Linked DNA regions of Arabidopsis thaliana. The protein of the gene in region 4 interacts with the protein of the main gene of each other region in a biochemical or structural test. Each region holds a gene or a part of one and is shown on either strand. Other genes may lie near its edges.

Evidence for each region.
Region 1: the proteins of PEN3 (region 4) and CAM3 form a complex in vitro, tested with the Arabidopsis thaliana proteins (one study listed by BioGRID).
Region 2: the proteins of PEN3 (region 4) and TCH3 form a complex in vitro, tested with the Arabidopsis thaliana proteins (one study listed by BioGRID).
Region 3: the proteins of PEN3 (region 4) and FBX2 form a complex in vitro, tested with the Arabidopsis thaliana proteins (one study listed by BioGRID).

Annotation. Positions count from the first base shown.
Region 1 is NC_003074.8:21,034,014-21,038,002, forward strand, and holds CAM3 (calmodulin 3), read right to left. Parts: upstream 2,154-3,989; 5' UTR 1,908-2,153; coding exon 1,832-1,907; intron 1,342-1,831; coding exon 968-1,341; 3' UTR 521-967; downstream 1-520. Other genes in the region: AT3G56790 (RNA splicing factor-like protein), read right to left, coding at 1-442; AT3G56810 (uncharacterized protein), read right to left, coding at 2,914-3,464. UniProt on the Arabidopsis thaliana protein: Calmodulin mediates the control of a large number of enzymes, ion channels and other proteins by Ca(2+). Among the enzymes to be stimulated by the calmodulin-Ca(2+) complex are a number of protein kinases and phosphatases. Activates MPK8 in vitro.
Region 2 is NC_003071.7:17,136,139-17,140,107, reverse strand, and holds TCH3 (Calcium-binding EF hand family protein), read right to left. Parts: upstream 2,280-3,969; 5' UTR 2,219-2,279; exon of another isoform or gene 1,993-2,218; 5' UTR 1,978-1,992; coding exon 1,902-1,977; exon of another isoform or gene 1,802-1,901; coding exon 1,535-1,801; exon of another isoform or gene 1,435-1,534; coding exon 1,165-1,434; coding exon of another isoform or gene 1,103-1,164; intron 1,064-1,102; coding exon 702-1,063; 3' UTR 501-701; downstream 1-500. Other genes in the region: AT2G41105 (uncharacterized protein), read left to right, coding at 949-1,053, 1,103-1,177, 1,622-1,657; AT2G41090 (Calcium-binding EF-hand family protein), read right to left, coding at 3,490-3,628, 3,746-3,969. UniProt on the Arabidopsis thaliana protein: Potential calcium sensor that binds calcium in vitro.
Region 3 is NC_003076.8:7,144,333-7,148,991, forward strand, and holds FBX2 (F-box protein 2), read right to left. Parts: upstream 2,946-4,659; 5' UTR 2,686-2,945; intron 2,458-2,685; 5' UTR 2,346-2,457; coding exon 726-2,345; 3' UTR 545-725; downstream 1-544. Other genes in the region: AT5G21050 (hyccin), read left to right, coding at 3,558-4,625.
Region 4 is NC_003070.9:22,032,655-22,040,473, reverse strand, and holds PEN3 (ABC-2 and Plant PDR ABC-type transporter family protein), read right to left. Parts: upstream 6,052-7,819; 5' UTR 5,814-6,051; coding exon 4,976-5,813; intron 4,894-4,975; coding exon 4,763-4,893; intron 4,487-4,762; coding exon 3,224-4,486; intron 3,138-3,223; coding exon 2,981-3,137; intron 2,902-2,980; coding exon 2,797-2,901; intron 2,718-2,796; coding exon 2,572-2,717; intron 2,488-2,571; coding exon 1,646-2,487; intron 1,558-1,645; coding exon 630-1,557; 3' UTR 348-629; downstream 1-347. Other genes in the region: AT1G59865 (uncharacterized protein), read left to right, coding at 7,177-7,474. UniProt on the Arabidopsis thaliana protein: Together with ABCG37, regulates auxin homeostasis and responses by playing a dual role in coumarin (e.g. esculin) and in the auxin precursor indole 3-butyric acid (IBA) efflux transport, thus influencing cotyledons, roots and root hairs development.

The DNA.
Region 1 (3,989 bases), on a different chromosome or scaffold from region 4:
AAGGTTGGGGAGGTTTAAGAATATTCTGAAAAACATCTTTCTTGTGTTTGTTGTTGTTAACCATCAATGTACTAAGATTAATCACATGCCCATACTCATCTATTTCTCTTCCAAGTACATCTACACGCAGAAAAAAGCCCTTGGTCTGTTTATGTGCAACAGCCGTATCTATTGCCAGCTCCTGAAATCGTTTAACAGCTTCAAGGATTTGACTAGAAGTAGTGTCCGATGCAATAGAACAAGTATACGGCCTTTTCTCAAACCTAGCTACATCTTCAAACCTAGAACTCTTGTTTGTCGTCCTAGCCGCCCCATTCTCTTCCTCTGATCTATCTTTCCTCTTACTTCCTTCGTGAGACCTCTCATGATGATGCTTAGTCCTATCTCTCTCATCACGATCGTCACGGATGCTCCTGGAATATCTCTGCTTCTTGTTATCCATGATGAGACAAATTTAGGGGAAGTATGAAACGAACGTGAACAAAGAAACACAAAGGTATTTTACCTATATTCACATCAATTGAATGATCCCAATTCAACCACGAATAGGAAACTTTATGCCGTTTTCCTTTTTCTTAAACGACCACGAATTGGAAACTTTTATGTCGGTTTCTATTTTTTTAATGATACACACCACACCACGTTTTGACCTTTTTAGTCATTGATAGGACCTAATTTGCATTTCACAAAACCATGATACAATGCTTTACTAGAGAGACACCATTAATAAAAAACCGCGAACTAGACCAAGGTTACAAATTACAGGAGCAAGACAACAAAAAAACAAGACTTTTGAAAATGTTCAGACGCAAAATAGAGCATAAAAGGGATAAAACATTCGCGTCTTAAACAAGCAGAAAACATACCTCGAGTCCCATGAATAAAAATTATAGAACATAACATAAGAATTTATATGTAAGAGATGCAAACCAAGTTTATAGAGCCATTGTTTGGTTCTAAAACAGCATCACTTAGCCATCATGACCTTAACAAACTCTTCGTAGTTAATCTGACCATCACCATCAACATCAGCTTCCTTGATCATCTCATCAACTTCTTCATCAGTAAGCTTCTCACCAAGGTTTGTCATCACATGGCGGAGCTCAGCTGCTGAGATGAAACCGTTCTGGTCCTTGTCGAAAACCCGGAATGCTTCCTTGAGCTCTTCCTCAGAGTCGGTGTCCTTCATCTTACGAGCCATAAGGTTCAAGAACTCTGGGAAATCAATGGTACCGTTACCATCAGCATCCACTTCGTTGATCATGTCTTGAAGCTCTGCTTCGGTTGGGTTTTGTCCAAGGGAACGCATCACAGTACCCAGCTCCTTGGTGGTAATGCAACCTACAAGCAAATCAAGAATTTGTTCATCATTCACTTCTCTGTAAATCTAATTCAATCAAATATCTTCAATTACGAAACTCAAAGCAGGTTTCTCTGTAGAGAAGCATTTTAGCTAGATCCCAAACTTCTCAATTAACAGTTTCTAGTCATTAACTTCTCAAATCTAAAGTGAGATAAAATAATTCAGATGGAAAATTAAATCCAAATCGATAACAAATTGGCAAATCTCCAAGTCATCAATCATCCAAATTTCGATTCAAATCCAATCCAGGAAACAAACGAACAAAAATTGAAAAACAAGGAACGAGTCTAGAGATCACGAATTACAGATCCGTTAATTATCTACATCGACACAGATCAATTGAATCAACAAGAAGAACAGAAATCAAATCAGTTATGGCTAGACACCAAGATCCAACAGTAGCAAAATCCTATGTATTCAAAAACATTTGAAATTGCGAGAGGGAGAGAGAAAAAAACAACAACGTACCATCACCATCCTTGTCGAATAAGCTGAAAGCTTCCTTAAACTCAGAGATCTGATCGTCGGTGAGCTGATCCGCCATTGTTTTTTTCTTCTCCTTTTCGTGAAACCTGTAGATTCAGAATTTTTTTGTTTTCTCTCAAAACGAGAAAGAAGAAGAAGAAGAGAAAATTAGAAAAAGTGTCTCTGCTGGAAAAAACGAGAGAGCAACCGTATTTATCGGGTACGAAGCTATTAACGACTTTTGCTCCGACCCGGGACTTTAAAAGCTTTTTTTTTTAACCCGTACCGGGTTTGGAAAAATCTCTGTTATAACCTCGGATTATGACTGTAATTGCGTTAATGCTATCATCAATGATTTCTTTTCTCTTATAAAACGCCAGAGTGGACAATTAAACGGATCACACGTTCACGCGGTCTGTACGCGGAGCGTTGACTTGACTGTCACGTCAGCATTCTCGCTGGGTCCTCGAGATCTCTCTCAGTACAGATGTCTGTTTATGATTGGCTTCGCTTTTGAATTTAAGTAGTCCTCCTCACCATTGAAAACAAATAATTAGTTTCTTTTATTGTTAACTTAAGTACAATATCACCTGCAAATTAATTAGATTAGATTTCGTTTTCAAACAATCAAAATCACTTCAAGATATAATTGATACGTCTAATCAATTTCTTAATAAATTCTATGATTAAATTATGTATATAAGGTAACTTAAGAAAGGTATATATAAAGAGAAAACGATCGAGTTTTAAAATATAGGATGAGTTATTAAAAAAAACATTAATATCTGTATCTAGATGAATATATTGTTTCTGATTTTGTTAATCATTCATTTATTTAAGGAAATCTATGTAGTACTAGTATATACATGAATTCATCAAATAGGGAAAGTTTTTATATTGAATGCAAATAGTGTATCATTCATTAAACCCTAAACAACCAATTGCACTCTATTGAAAGATATGTCTTAAATTCTGAATAAGCTAAGAAAATTATAAAATAATTTAAACAACAAGTGTCATAGGTGAAAATTGTCGCAACTATGACTTCCATAACCGTCACAACGAACCTAAAGATATCAATCGCATCAAAACACTAATCTTCTTCGACACGCGTCGAATGGGAGAGAGTTGCTGCTGCCACGTCGGATGTGTTGGCCTTTACCTCCTCCGCCGTAACAAACAGAAGAATCCACCGGCGATTGATAAAACTCGTCGTCGTCGTAGTCAGAGAAGGAGAGCTCTCGAACGGTCTCTGCGATCAAGTCGCGACAGATGTGATCATGAAGAGCCAAACCGATTTTAGCGACCTCTCTTCGTTGACCAGATGCCACGTCATCACAAACTTGGTTCACGCTCTCCATCAAGCTCCGTCTTACCCTCCGCACCACAAGGGGCAACGTGCCACATGACTCTGTCGTCGTCGTTGACGTTGATCTCTTGGAAATGACGTCATGAATGGAGTAATGATCGGGTCTAGTGATTAGATTTATATTGTTGACTTTGTAGGGTTTGTTGTCTTTGCAGCAATATTCGTGATGGTTCATCATCGACAACATCGTGTCTGTGTCTGGTTCGTGTTGTGTCGTCTTCGTGTTCTTCTGCGTGTGCGTCCCCACGACGACATCTCCTGCCAGTACTGTTGGTTGTTTGTTAAATAAGACGAAAATAATTTATCAGACAACTTGTGTGTTTAGTATATAAATTAGTACGTTGTCACACAAATATATATAAACTATTACTAGCGAATAATAAGACTCAGGCATACATGAAGTGCTTGTAGAATCATTTTTCTTTAAAAGTGGTGTTCTTGATTTGGTACCATAAAACAGTATGTGGGTCAGAATCAGGAATAAATCAAAGAATGGGTGGGGGTCCAAATGATGGGAAAAGTTAAAGTGGGCTTCATGACTAAAGGAATAAAGGCCCCTAAAAGCTGTTTCTTCCTTCATCATTTGTCTAACATGCCTCTTTCTCCTCACACTTTCTTTACTCTCTTCTCCACTTTAATTTGATCCTATCAGATTAGACTAAACCTCATTACATAATTAGCCCCACCGAAACTTAATTGGGGTCCATACTATATTGTCTTTATATAATTTTGAACACTATCCTCAATATGACAACAACTATATAATGATCCAATTGTTAGAGCAATTAGATG
Region 2 (3,969 bases), on a different chromosome or scaffold from region 4:
TCCAGTGAGTCGCCTCCTTTGATTTTCCTTGGTTCGTTGGTTTCTGGTTCCAATTCGTTAGTATTTGTTTTCTCGTTATTGTTAAATGCTGTCTTTTTTAAAAAAAAACATTTATTAGAATTATCAATTGTGAAGTATTCGTTTGGATGGTAAGTGGAGCTGTCGCTACATTTGTCTAAATTATTAAAGATTTTGCTTTTAACTACTACTTTTTAATACTACATTGTCTGTAACATTATATGTTTTTTGGAAGTGCATCGAACGTCCTTGTTTCTGCAATAACAATCACAAAGCAAAAATTTGCATCGGATAAAAACAAATCGAAGAAATACATGCTTATGACAATTGATTAACATGGTAAGATATGAGGCTTAGCTGATTTGATCACTGTATGTGCCAGATCATTAACCGATTTATCATATTAGATCAATTTTTAGTAGTGAGCTACCAGTTTTCAATGATTAGTTCTGCTACGTTTCAATGTTTTTCTCAAAAGATACATTAATACCCCAATTATATTCGATACTGAAACCATATTACAAACTCATTTTAATAAATTGCACACAACTGAAGATGGTAACACACTAACACATGCAATAAATTTATTACATAGAAATTATTGTCATTAGATGAAACGCCTTTTGAGAGAGATCTAACATAATTGTCAGACCCTATTGGCATAAAGTTACTGACGTGTCATTTCAAGATAACAGCGCTTCGAACAAATCTTTAAACCTATCTTTCATGAAGTCGGAAATTGGCGAAGCGATGATATTGCTGGCAACCCCGACCGCTATGTCCCTCTCCCAATTGGTGCCACCAGCTCTGTCATTTCTAGTGTGACGCTGCACTTGACCCTGACCTTGATTCACAACTCTGTACGTTTCTTTCTTAGACTGAGTGTCAATCATTTTACCAGTCATTACACACACAAACTCAGAGAAACTGATGGTTCCGTCACCATCTGCATCCGCTTCGTTGATCATGTCCTGGAGCTCAGCTTTTGTTTGGGTTTCACCAAGGGAGCGCATAGTAGTACGGAGCTCATTCACGGTAATGTAACCTACAAAAAGTAAGCAATGACTTATGTTAGTCATTTCAGTGCTTTGAAGATGATCAGGATCCAATATGTACGATTAGCGAGAAAGGGACGATGAACCATACCATCACCATTCTTGTCGAATACGCGGAAGGCTTCCCTGAATTCTAAGATCTGATCGTCAGTGAGCTGATAATCCACCATTGTTTTTTTAGTGTGACGCGGCGCTTGATCATGACCTTGATTCTTAGCCATTAGGTACAAGAACTCAGGGAAATCGATGGTTCCATCACCATCTAAATCCACTTCGTTCATCATGTCCTGAAGATCAGCTTTTGTCCGGTTTTTACCGAGGGAAAACATCACGGTACGGAGCTCCTTTTTCGTAATGGAACCTACAAAAAGTAATCAAGGACTAGTGTTAGTCATTTCATTGCTTTGAAGATGATCATGATCCAACATTACGATTAAATGGAAAGAGTTGATGAACCATACCATCACCATTCTTGTCGAATAACCTGAAAGATTCCCTGTACTCTGTAATCTGATCGTCAGTGAGCTTATCCGCCATTGTTTTTTTAGTGTGACGCGGCGCTTGATCATGACCTTGATTCTTAGCCATTACGCACAAGAACTCAGGGAAATCGATGGTTCCATCACCATCTAAATCCGCTTCGTTCATCAAGTCCTGAAGATCAGCTTTTGTCGGTTTTTCACCGATTGAACGCATCATGGTACCGAGCTCCTTTTTCGTAATGGAACCTACAAAAAGTAATCAAGGACTTGTGTTAGTCATTTCATTGCTTTGAAGATGATCATGATCCAACATTACGATTAAATGGAAAGAGTTGATGAACCATACCATCACCATTCTTGTCGAATAACCTGAAAGATTCCCTGTATTCTGTAATCTGATCGTCAGTGAGCTTATCCGCCATTGTTTTTTTTGTTTTCTGTGATGACTGAAAGAAGAGTTTGTGAGACAATTTGTACTACGAACCAGGACTTGAAGCCTTATATAATAGTACCCGAATTATTTGAAATGACGGCTATATCCTCAAACTTTTCCACGTTCACGCAATTTCTACGCAGGATCGTTGTCTGCCATGTCAGCTTATCCTTTCAAGTGTGAGTCGCCTCCTTTGACTGGCAATTACTTGGTTGGTTCCTTCTTCCAACTTGTTTTTTTTTTTTTTTTTCATTTATTTGAAAGAAACATTTATTTACAATGGAATTTTGGATGGGTGAGTGGACATTTGCCTAATTTATATTTTAGGTTATAGTTTTCTTATACTGACTCCGAAGGAGTGTCCTTATTTATGCAAAACTAAATAAATCATAATAGAGAAAACACTTGCATAAGATAAAAATGAATCGAAGAAATACAAGCGTATGACAATTGATTAGCACATGTTTAGTAAAGTGTTGTTGTTGAAGTTAACGAACGTTACCAATGAAATCTGATCTGAGGGATTCCACAAGTGCATTCTACTTGAGAAAGAGCAGAGAAGTTTCTACATCCTGAATATTCCTGATTTAACATCTCTGCTGTGGAAGGAATTCGCAAGACAAGTGTGTGGAAGGTTAGAAGAAACTACACAAACGACCAAAAACATGGTACATAAGAAATAACGAGAAAGACCACAGAAGTTTCTACCTTGCGGGGATGGCTTGAGCAAGTAAAGTTGACAGAAAACCACTTCCTGTGCCCGACTCAAGAATCACGGGCAGGGGCAATCTCAAGGTAGACTAGAAAGCTACTACTACCCGCCGCAATGTAAAGAATCTGAGTCTTGTGACCTGTTTCCATATGACCCAACATGCCACATGTACTGCATACAAATTTACCCTTGTTGCTTTGGATTTTGGGCCAGCGAAATTACACGGGTACAAAATAAGAAAAGCCCATATCGAAGACATGTTATCCAAGTTTTCTGATATTGAACATGCAGTAATTTTCCACACATTGTAGTCCAAATGGGTCAAAGGGCGTCCTTTGTTTTGCTCAAAACACTTGGGTTATCGAAATTGTAGACGTGTGTTTTCAATGTTGCAGGGCAGGTTGGTGCGAGGCATGTCATTATTCATTAGATGAGTCCTTATAAGAGTCTTGAAGAACTCTGGGACGGTGAGATATGAGGCTTAGCTGATTTGATCACTGTATGTGCCAAATCATTAACCGATTTAGATCAATTTTTAGTAATGCTACCAGTTTTCAATAATTAGTTCTGCTACGTTTTAAATGTTTTTCTCAAAAGATACATTGATACCCCAATTATATTCGATACTGAAACCATATTACAAACTCATTTTAATAAATTGCATGCAAGAAAAGATGGTAACACAATAAATTTATTACATAGAAATTATTTTCAAAGATCAAACGCCTTTTTAGAGAGATCTAACATACCAGCCAGACCCTAATGGCATAAAGTTACTGATGTACCATTTCAAGAAAACAACGCTTCGAACAAATTTTTGATGAAGTCGGTCATTGGCGCTGCGATGATATTTTTGGCAACCCCGGCCGCCAAGTCCCTCTCCAAAGTGCCACCAGTTGTGTCATATTTAGTATCATGACCTTGATTCCTAGCCATACACACAAGAACTCAGAATGAAATTTAAGAACAAGAGAGGAACATTCTTTATGAAATTAGATAAGAGGTAGTAAAAAAAGGGGAAGCGGAAAAGTTGTTTAAATCTCACTTGGCCATCATAAGCCTGGCAAACTCTCTGTAGTTGATCTGACCATCACCATCAACATCAGCTGCCTTGATAATCTCATCGATTTCTTCATCAGTTTGCTTCCACCGGAGGATAGTCCTCACATATCTCATTTCAGCAGCTGAGATGAAACCATTCTTGTCTATGTCAAAGAGTCTGAAATCTTTCTTGAGGTCTTTCTCAGAGTAAGTGTCCTTAGCCATTGC
Region 3 (4,659 bases), on a different chromosome or scaffold from region 4:
CTAAGGTGTTTGGCCCCGAATAAGGAATAACCCTTAAATAGTAAAAGAAAGGATTATGTAAGAGGAGATGAAGAGGCGTGCGGTGAGTGCAAAGAGTCTTAAAGCCTTTTTATGTTTTACGCTAAGGAAGACAAAGAGTTTTTCTTGTACATGAAATTCGAGAGGGTACACTAGTCATTGATTTCTCACTTACATTGCATGCATTACTTTTTTAATTAAGTGGATAATTATTGGCTTTTGTTGTGGATTAACTGCAATAGAATTTAGTGGGTAGATTGAAGTCGAAGAGACTAGGAATTCAAACGAGAGAACTAGGAATTGATCTGGGAATTCAAACGAAAGAACCAAGACTCATGAGGCTTTGCTATTCTGTCATGGTCGATCAAATATCAAATTCTTCAAGTTTCAAAGAAAAGCCAATAGAGAATTGGAACTTCCTTTTTTGTTTATATTTTTCGTTTTCTTGTTTTTGAACTTGAAAAATATTACTATGTTTGTTGTATTGTAAGATTTTGAAATTCAGTTAGAAGTTAGTGAACCTTCGAGGAATCTCTTGCATTTTTTCATACTAAAAGCTTCCAAAATATATGAACTAAAAGCCAATTTTCTCATTTTCCACCAATCATAAAGACCCAACTCTGATAGCTTAAAAGTTAAAGCCAACATGTGTCAAGGTTATAAAATTGCTTTACTAAATGTATTAAAGATAAATCCAATCTTATCGCTTAGGCCTTCGCCTTCCCGCTTGCTCTTCGTTTACTATGCCAGGCTCGGTTCCTTTCTCCATTGATGGGGTTCTTATGAGCAGCAATGGAGCATTGGTCAGGCCTTCCATTCTTTGCGTTCATCTCCATTTGCATTCTCCTTCGTCTCATCCTATTCTCATGCCTCATTCCTTTCAGAGCTCGGGTCCTTCGCTCTATCTCCAATGCTTGTGTGAAGTTCCATATCCGGACTGTGCCTTCTTCACCTCCACACACTATACGGTCATAACCCACGTCCACAGAGAACAAGTTTGACCCGAACCCGTGCAGCATTCGTTGTGGCGGTTCCACAGTACTCGAAGAAATCCTTTTGGAATAGGCACAACGGTTAGTTTTTAACAGTTTCCTAACGTCGATAAGTGCGAGTTTACCGTCACCGGATGCTGAGACAAGCCAAGGAAACTCAAAAGAAAGAGAGTAGACAGGACTAGTGTGAGGCATCCATTGAGATATAAGTACAACGCTTGTTTCACTACCGTATCTTCTGATCTCAAACATTTTAATCCCTCCATCTTCTCCACCAGTAAACAGGAAATCCCCAGTATGGCTTCTTGCCAAAGAGTAAGTGGTACCCTCATGAGCATCAGGGATGATCGCCAATGGAGTCTCACTGCTAACGTCCCAAATATATACATCAGAACCTGACGTGCTAGCGAGGGTGGTTTCATGAGGTGCAAGTCCCCAAACCCAATCACTATGCCTCAAGGTTTTGACACACTTCATTGAAGATCGATCCCATATACGAACAGACATATCCCATGAACCGCTAAAGATACTTGTCATGTCCAGGGCAAGAGATGTAATAGGACCCTCATGTCCCCATAGCCGAAACTCAGTCTTCTCTTTCTGAAAACCTGTGAGATCAAACAGGTTCCGGAGACCATCCAGTGATTTCCAGCAATGAATGAATCCATCAGTACCGCCAGCTACCAACAGCTTTGTATCAGCAGCAAGTGCCCTAATCGTACAACCGAGAGGTTTAGATGCCGCAATAGACAAGCCTTCTTCCATGTCCCACATCCGAACAATGGAATCATATCCAGAAGTGAAAACGAGCTTGGCAGAAGCTAAGAGAAAAACAGTCCGGACTGCTTCAGTGTGACCATACAGAGTATCAATACTATAACGTCCTAAAAAGGTCCTACTCCTAAATTCCCTTTCAACAAACAGATCTTTCCATGATCTCTCATCAGAAAGCCCTGAACTTGCAGCTCCGAAAACTACAGGGAGTCCCCATCTCTCACGATAGAACTCCTTCCAAGCGTGATGCTCAGATGCTAACCTATGCAGATAAGTTGAAACACAAGACACTAGACCCAACTCTTTTGGGTCAAGGCAATTAAGAATCTCAGATATCAATGCCTGAGGTAAATCAATAATGGTAGTAGACAAATCCTTGTCAGAGAGTAACTGTTTCGAGCCACTGGGCACTAAAGTTCCCTTCTTTTTCTGACAACACAACTTCACATTTGGAATCTCAACAGACCCATCATTACCTATTCTCAAATCGGTATTCAAAAGACCAGACTCACTTCTTTGATCGTTCGCAGCTTCAAGTCTCTCTTGGCACTCAAATTCCATGAAAAGCCAGTCAGCGTCCGATGTAGCCCGTAACACTTAAACAAGGAGCTTTTCACGAACGACTCTGACCGGATCTCGAAAATCTACAGCACCAGAGACGAATCCAGCTAAGCTTGAAGATAAACGAGAAAAACGATTCATCAATAGAACCAAACCAGATTAAACAAAATACAAATTTTTACCCCCAAAAATCGATAACAATCAGACCAACACATCATAAACAAAGAAAAACGAAGAGATTCGTAAATGTTAGCTAAAACGAAACAGAGGAACAACGATAAATCCCTAGAAACAGAGATGAAAGCTAAAACAAGCAAGCGGAATCGAGAAAAGTTAGTACCTTTAGTAATCAAAAACAATCTATTCGTAACAGAGAGAGGATTTTCGCCAAAATTACGTTGCCCTAATTTCTCTAATCGGATTGATGAGATTTTGAAGATGGAGAACCAAAAGGTCCAAAACCAACCAAGCATCAAACAATGTAAAAAAAAAAACATTATTGCCAATTTGTTTTTTTTTTATGGTCCCCGGACGGTGCTATACTAACCGTCCGATCGAAAAACAAATCAAGCGTCCAGATCGTACGATATGAGCAGCTACAACACATGTATATCTTTGTTTTATTATATAAGATTGATCCTATTTTTGCTGCGTTATATTCTCAAAGTTTTCAAAATTCCACAATAAGTGATTTTTAGTTGTAAATACGCTTTTTCTAGTAAGAGTAAGATTTTGCATGGAGATCATATATCACATGTTCTTCCATGCAACCATGACCTTGAAGCAATAGCTTATTCTTGTCCAATAATGCTATTGGCGCCAGAGGGAAGTGGACAAAGAAAGAGTTTTTGTGAGATCTATCGAACATAATTTGTTCCATGGCTTGTTGCCGCCTGAAGAATCTAACGACCATATCACTTGGGTTAGCCCCTTTGTCTCCGATACACACAAGCGACTATTGAGGATGCACATGATGTCTTTGAAACGGTCACGTTCATGAGATAACTTGAAAAGTTTCGGTGTGAAATGACCCATCTAAATACACGGGATAAAGATCAAATTTAATTTGGGCTTCTAGCCCATAACTATCAAGCCCATAATTTGGTTTACTTTTATTTGATTCTATTTTTGCTGCGTAATTTTCTCAAAGTTTTCAAAATTTCCATATTTTTCACCTCTACTCTCTCAGAAGCGATCATCATCTTCCCCAAAATGTCTGATTCTTCCTCAAGCCATGACTCACCACCTTCTCCGGCGATCACCGGAGATTCAGAAACCACAGTGACCAACAACGAATCAGAATCCAACACAAAATGTCAAACAGCAATCCAATCCTTATCCACGATCGTCACAAACACAAACATCCCTTCCACAATAACCATCCTCCTCGACGATGAAGCCGTCTCCACCGCGATCTCCTCTCTCCTCCTACGTCCCGATTCAGGCGCCGGAGATAACAACCTCTGCCGTTGGCTCTACGACACATTCCAATCCGCGGAACCATCGCTTCAGCTTCTCGTCCTCCGATTCGTTCCTTTAATCGCTGGTCTCTACCTCTCTCGTGTCCCTCTCCGTCAACCACAAGCCGGATTCGAAGCCGTTTTACTCGCTCTCTACGCGCACGAAACAACCTCACGTGCCGGTCAAGCAATAACCGTCAACATTCCAGATCTCTCATATCCAAGCATTTACCATGAATCCAAAGGTCTCACAAGGAACAACAACTCAACGTGCCTCAACATCGCTGTGATCTCCTCCACGTTAGATCCACACGGGACGGTTAGATCCACGCGCCGCGCGAGGATCGTCGGAGTCGCGTTGGAGCTTTACTATAGCAAAATCTCGAAAATGCCACGCGAATCTAAGCTTAATTTCTGTGAATCGTGTGAGAAATGGGCGGGGCAAAACGGAGAAACGGAGCAATCTTCACGGGCTGTGATTCCGACTTTGAGCGATGATTCGTGGAGAGAGGAAGAGAATGTTGCTATTGGAGGAAGATCTGAGAGAGATAGTGGAAGGATTCCATTGCCATGGGAGCTTCTCCAACCGATTTTGAGGATCTTAGGGCATTGTCTCCTTGGGCTCAAAATGGAAGATAGGGAGTTATCTGAGGCGGCGAATAAAGCTTGTCAGAGTTTGTATCTCCGATCTCTGCATGATATAAATCCGAAGGCGATTTTGGCTACCGGAAGTCTTCTTCGGCTCCGTGAGATGGCTCTTGATCCCAAGAATCAAATCGATCACACTGAGCTATCAAACGACACCGTTCTCTCCGTTTGACCCCGTTTTGTTATTTATTTAGTCAACGCTTTCT
Region 4 (7,819 bases):
ATCCAAACCATATTATGCAATGATCAAGATATAGGGTGGTGTATTGGCCTAAACATTTGGGTATGATTAAATGGAAATTTGATTGGGAGGACTTTTGGTAGGATTTAAGGAAATTTTAGGTGATTTAATCCAAAATTCAAAATCGTTTTGTCGTTGTAAGATAGACTTTTCTATATTTAGAAAAACTGATTTATTGAGATTTCTCATTAAACTTTATGATATTGGTGTTGTGTTGTGATAATTTTTACAGAACCATGTTATACAATTATCAAGATTTAATCATGAAGAACATTAACTTATCCTCCATTGATTTTGTCTTCTTTGATAATGGATATGATCACACTTTTTTTCTGTCTTCTTCCTCTTATTGGAAGTATCGTAAAATAAAAAGTCTCAAGAAACAAACAAAAATGGACTTTGAGGGATTTGTGGATATAAACACAAAAAAAAGTGGAATTATATTACATGATTCCGATTCGTCATCATCTATAAGACAATAAATAAAAATATTCAAAAAAATTTCGTTATGACACTACAATACATATTTAGAACATACAAAGCTTATAGTGCATATAAACAACACAGAGGATACAAAAAAAGAAAGAGACTTTGTTGTTTGAGAGATGGTTTTATCTGGTCTGGAAGTTGAGAGTTCTGATGCAGAAGGCGAAGATGAAGGCGAAGAAGACGGTGAAAGCGATGAGTACAGCCGCCACTGGTCCCATAAAGTCAGATTGGAAACCATAATGGTCCTCAATGTATTGCTTGACGGTTAAGTCAGGAGCACCACCAAGGACTTGGATACGTGTCTCCACATCACCGTACTGCGACACTATCAATCCATACACGGTCCATGCAACAGGGCAGATCCAGTAGTACCAAATCCACCATTTTGGGATTTTGGGTCTTGGAATGAAGAAACCAGAGAAGAGGTTGAAAATACCGTAAAACGCTGAGGCGAAAATCGAAGCGACTTGTTGGTTTGGTGTGAGGGAAACAGTCATCATGCCGTAGTAAGTCCAGTAGAGGAATGAGAAGTAGCTAACGAAGACGAACCAGAAGAACTTTTCGGCTTTCCATTCGAAACCAACCATGGCGTAGACGATGAGTGAGTAGTAAACGGTTTGAATAAGGACATAGGGAAGCTCACAAGTGACTTGAGAGATGGCATATGGCATGGCTGAGTACATTCCTGCTGCTCTTTCTCTGTAGAACACTGTTCTTTCCACTGCAACCATCGGTTGTACTGTTGAACAGTTGTTGATTCCCACGAAGATAATCGCGGCATACAATGCTCCTATCACCATTGTTAGATCCCCTGCGTTCGACCTGTTACCTCCGATTTGCCAGAAGACTGTACCAATCAAGAGAGATGTTGCCAATGTGAAGATGAAACGGACAAGATTGTAGTCTGGAGATCTCCAATACGTCCACCATTGTTTCCATAAGCATGATTTGAACTGTCCCCATGTGTTTTGTGAGAATTGTGTAGCAAAGTAAAGATCTGATGCTCCTGCTGGTGGTACACTTAGTTCTTTTACCAACGCTTTGTTTCGCCTGCATTTTGTTATGTATTCATTAGTACTATTACTTAAACAATCAATCAGATGCAATGAGCCATGGAAAAGAAGGAACTTAAACTTACTGGTGCAATGCTGATTGATTGTATAACTCAGCAAAGTCAACACTAAGCTTTAGCTCAGCGGCGAGTGAGCTAGCTTCGAGCATCCAAGTGGCCGGGTTATACTTTTCTGGAATCTTGGACACTCCGGGGAAAGATTCAAAGTACTCAACCACCTTGTGAGAGTTTTGACCCAATGGACCCGCGTAAATCACTTGTCCTCCTCTCTTCATCAGCATCAATTCATCAAATGCTTCAAAGATATCAATGCTAGGCTGATGAATGGTGCAGACCACGGTTCTTCCAGTGTCCACTGTGTTCCTTACCGCCCTCATCACAATAGCCGCTGCTCTAGCGTCTAGCCCTGAAGTTGGCTCATCCATAAAGATGATGGAAGGGTTGGCTACAAGCTCCACCGCGATTGTCAGTCTCTTTCTCTGCTCCGTGGAAAGCCCCGTGACACCCGGTAAACCAACAATGGAGTCCCTAAGACTGTCCAGCTCTACCAATTCCATCACTTGATCCACAAACATCATTTTTTCATCTTTGCCGACTTCTTTAGGAAGACGAAGGAAAGCAGAGAAAATCAGAGATTCTCTGACTGTTACTTGCGGGGAGTGAATATCGGTCTGCTCACAATATCCTGAGATTCTAGCAAATGTTTCTTGAACCTTTGGGAATCCTGATATTCTCACATCTCCTTCAATGTATCCACCTGTTTTCCTTCCGGCCAAAACGTCCATAAGCGTAGTCTTACCGGCACCACTCACTCCCATAAGCGCAGTCAAAACTCCTGGCCTAAATGCACCAGTCACACCTTTAAGCAGTTGGAGTCTTGTTTCTGTAACTCCTTGGTCTCTCATTTCCTATACCATCAAAAGATATCTATTTAGTTTAAGTAATTCATATTTAATTTAGTGTAAAGATTTTAAGTGAAGATAGTTACTTACCCCAGGCATGTCAACAAAGTATTTGACGTCGTCAAAGGACATAGCTAAAGGAGTGAAAGGAAGAACCATTCCTTTCTTATTGCCTGCACCACCTGATGCTTCAGCCGCAGAGTCCCTACTCATTCTCCCCATTGCGACCTCTCCTCCTGATAGCAGGGAGCAGAATGAGACAAGAGTACAAGAAAAGCAAAACATCTAAGCAGATTAAGAAATGTGTTTACTTACTTCTGTTCCCATCTGCAGTAGACAAAGATCTACGCATTGGATCTTTCCCCTGATCAGCGTCTTCATTTTCTTCTTCTGGAAGTAAACCTGCCTTCTTCCCAAGAGCTGTAGTTTCAAAGGTACATTATTAGTAGTCTATTGTTTTTAGATTTGGTAAAACGGGTGATACAACACGAGAACTTACGGTTGAGATAGGTAAGTGCCAAGGTGAATAGAATGTTGAAGAGGGCTGTGAAACAAAGCAAGGCTCCAACTGAAATCCAGTACCAGTTCTTTTGATGGTAGACATCCCAAGTATTAAGCACCATAGTTCCAAGCTTTATTGTGCTGTTAGAAGAAGCCTGTAATTTGAAAAAAATATGACTCAGAGGCGGCTTTACTATGATATTTGTTTGTAAAATGCAGAATAAAGAAGTAAGCCACTTACCATTTTGTTCATCCATCTGGGAGCAAACATTTCATTGACTACTAGACCGTTGAAAGCATAGGTGAGAGGAGATACCCAGTAAGCCCAACCCCACCAGTCAGGAATCTTGCCTTTCGGAAGAAGGAAGCCTCCGAGCAAGAACACAAGAAGTAGAGTGAGAGCACCACCAGTATTAGCAATCATCATGGTTCTGCACACAGAAGCAATCAACCTAAAGAGGGATGCAGCCATTTGTTGAATCAGAAACACCAGAAGAAACTGCTTGAAGAAGCGGCTGGCGTCAGGTGCAAAACCAATGGAGTAATAAGTCACCACCATCCAAGCCGTCGATTCTAATATTGAGCTTGGAATCCCAAGCAAGAAAGTGGGAAGTGAGAAGGTCCAGGATGGATAAAACAAGAGATCCCTCTGTTTGTAGAACACAGGGAGTCTTGAAACCATCATAGCCATCTCCGCAAACCCATTAAACATGTTGATGATCATTCCAAATAGCAATGCTCCTATGTAGAGATTAGCATCACCCTCGTTTCTTGTGTTCATTTCGGTTCTCAGGAAGAGTGTAGACGTGATTGCAGCAATGATGACGATCTGGACAGTCTTGAAAACATAGAAGAACGCGTTTCGCTGCATAAGCAGCCACTCTTTGTCCCAACAGCTCTTGAGAAGCTCCCTCTTTGAGACAGAGTACTTATCGAACACAAGAGCTGCTTTGTGGCCGCGAGACTTATCGAACGGTACTGCAAGTTCGTTAGACATCTTCGTCCCAACATGGAAACTCTTGTATCTACTGGCAAACTCTGAAACCGGAATGTAGTGATAAGGTCTGTTCGGGTTCACCCAGTACTGTTCTTGATCTTTCTTGGAAGTAACCTCTTGCAGGAAATCAGCTGTTCCTTTTCTCTCAGGACACTTGAACCCAAAGCTCTCAAAGAACTCAAGAATGTTGTCTCTCGGTCCTTGGTACACGATCTGACCTTCCGACACCAAGATGATATCATCGAATAAATCAAAAGTCTCAGGAGCAGGCTGGAGGAGAGACATGAGCACCGTGGCTTCATTGAGGTGAACGATTTGTTGCAGACACTTGACGATTTGGAAAGTAGTGGAACTGTCAAGACCAGTGGATATTTCGTCCATGAAGAGTGTCTTAGTAGGTCCAACAATCATCTCACCAGTTGTGACACGTTTCTTCTGACCTCCAGATATACCTCTCATCATGTCATCTCCAACTATTGTGTCTTTGCAAATGTCAAGCCCCAAAATCTGTTACACGGCCAAAGTTAGTATTATACAAAAAAAGACTCAAAACTTTATGAACATGAGAAAAGATTGTCTAGAACATTTTTAGAATATGAAAACTTATATCAATATTCTAAAATAATGAAACCAAACGGTTAATGAATAAATTCCGGTTCAGTTTCGGTTTATAAAAAACGATTTAGTTCGATTCGATTTTATGAGTTGCTTGCCTAGTAACAAACACTCTTCTTGAAACAAAAAGAACAAGATGAGCTAAGTTAAGGCGAGAGTTGGACTCACTTTGAGAGTATAATCAGTGACGAGACTGTTCTTAACACCTTGAGCAGCAGAAGCTTTCATGAAGAGATCAACATCGGCTTCCGGGAATATACCAGCGTCCTTTTCTCTCCTCGCAAGCTCATTCAACAGATCTACAACAACAAGAATCAAAACCATTCAACAAAACTGAATCTTGAAAAAAAGATATGATTAAAGATTGAATCTTTTACTTACCATAACGAGTACCAACACCTTGACACCTAGCAGAGAAGTCAAGAGTCTCCTTAACAGTCATGATACCAACATGAAGATCGTTCTGACTAATGTAAGCAGAGGTCTTTCTCGGAACAAACTCATCGAGTTGGTAACCATTGTAAGTAATATCACCACTGACTTGTAGAGATTTATCAAGTTTCCCAGCTAAAGCCAACAAAAGAGTGGTCTTACCAGAAGAAGGAGGACCCAACAAAAGTGTCATCCTTCCAGGTTTAATAACCCCAGAGATATCTTTAAGAATCGTAAGCTGAGCTTTCTTAGCAAATTGAATACCAATCATACCTAAAGCAGACTCTCCCATGTTCCTCACAACATTCAAAAGTGTAGGAAGAGATCTATTACCAGTGTAACAATCAGCTTTAATCGTCAAATGCTCGTACCTGACTTCAACAGTTGGAAGTTTGATACCAACTCTATCGATCCTGTTTCTTAGCTTAGTCAAGATCCTTTCATTATCTTGCTCAGCTACTTTGAAAACCATGTCAATAAACTTCTGACGATCTTCACCATCAAGCTTGGTTACATCAACCTCCTTGCTCATGAGCTGGTTACCGTAAACATCGTCTTCGACTACAGCGTTCATGAGAGTGGTTCGGAGACGACTGTAAGTTGGTAGCTTCTCAATGGCAGCCCATTTAAGAGCTTCTTCATCGTCGTTGACTGATTGTGTTCTTCTTGAACCAGATGAGAAGATATCTTCAATGTTCCTACTTGCTCTGCTTACACTTCGACTTATGCTTCTTCTCATACTAACACCACCTCCTCCTAAAGGAGGAAGATTTGGATTGTAATCCATCGTTCACCAAGAAAGCTTGTGACTTTGGCTCAAAGTTTATGTCTTTTGAACAAAGTTTGTGTTTTTGGATCAAAGTTTGAGACTTTGGATCTAATCCCGTGAGGATTTAGTTGGGTGATACAGAGAAGAGAGAGAGGAGGAAGATGATGAATGAAGAGAAGAGGGTGGGATTAGAAAATGGATAAATAGGGAGTGAGGAAGGAACATCAAGGCGGACTTTTCTTTATGTTGACTATTCATACTTTGTTGAAATAATCAAAAATAATAAAAAGTCGTGTTTTTTATGTGCAAGATGGGTTTTATTATTCAAATGTGACGGCTCTTTTACGTTGTTTTTTTATTTACAAAAGATATTTTTTGTGCTAATAATGCGACGGCTCTTTAACGTTTGTTATTTTATTGCAAAGATATTATGTAATAATTGAAGTGTTTGAACATTTCTTATTCAAAGTCAATAACGATGACCCCATTTAGTTATAGCTACTACTAGTGGAGATATCGTTAAATGAAAAGTCTTTCTTGTGTACTTTGTTTCTTTTCTACATTTTATTGGTGAGAAAAGAAAGGAAGACCGTCGTTGGGTTTTGAAGTCATTGTGTTGATGAAGTCACATTCACATTTCAATTCAACACATACGTGAAGGATGGTTTGTTTATAAGTCTTTGTGTTCTGGAAAGTGAGAAGTTGCGGAGGAAGAAGCCATTTAAATACCCGGAATAAGAAGTTTTAGTGACAACTCCTCAATGTTGTTATGATAAGAAGACTCCATTGACTTCCTCTTAAACTCTGCGTTTGGCTATTTTCTCAACTAATCTTTGATTAGTGCTCTGCATTTTGTGTATTAACCAATGTCTAATTCATTCCTTCAGCCAGCAAATTTCATTTTCCTGAGCTCTTCTCAGCTTCTTTAGTAATGCTCTATAGGTTGGTTTCTTTGTCAATTAAGCTCTCGGTCTTCTTCAGTCTGCAGTTTATACTCCAAGTTTTCATTTACCTTTGAGGACGACTCATCGATTTTTTCAAGAGAACAAACCTACATTGCTCTGAGTTTTCTAAAGCAATGTTCTTTGGCTTGACTTCGTTGACCAACAAGCTTCCTTTAAATTTCATGCTTCCAGTTTCTGCTTCTCTAACTCTTTCCTACAGATCCTCATTCTTCTCCTCAAGTTCCTTCAGTTTATTCTCATTTACCTTGCCAAGTTCCCGACTTTTCCGCGCAAATGAAGTTCTCGCTGTCTCTACACAGTCTTAGAATGGACAAACTCATTTTGGGTGTTTACTTATCTCAGTCTTCAAGAATTTTTCCTTACTTTTCACTTGTATATTTTGCAGCCAACTTATAACTTTTAATTTGGGCTCCACAATGTTCAAGCTATGGTTGACATATCAACAAGACCTTCTCCAATCCTTGCCTTGCTTTAAAAACGCTTCACTTGTATCCACCAAGCTTTCATATACCTTTGACAAGTTATCGAGTTTTTCAAGAGAAAAAACCTTCATTGCTCTGAGCTTTCTGTTTTCTAAAGCAACCTTCTTTGCCTCGACTTTCATGCTTCCAGTCTCCGCTTCTCCAACTCTTTCCTACAAATCCTCACTCTTCTCCTCAAGTTCCTTAAGTGTATTTTTCATACATGCTTCTTCTTCTTCTCATTTTCCTGAAGGTCAGACAAATTCACTTTGCCAAGTTCCCAATTTTCCACACAACTGAAGTTCTCGCTGTTCCCACATAGTCTTAGAATTGAAAAACTCATTTTGAGTGTGTACTTATCTCAGTCTTCAAGAATTTTTCCACAGTTTTCATTTGTATCTTTTGCAGCCAACTTATACCTTTTCATTTGGGCTCCACAATGTTCAAGCTATGGTTGACATATCAACAAGATCTTCTCCAATGCTTCCCTTGCTTTAAAAATACTTAACTTGCAAATCCAAAGTTAAGCTTTCCATAGCTTTGTTGCTTTTCTCTTATTTTCTTCTTCTTCTTACAGTTTTTTCCTGTCTGAGTTTGT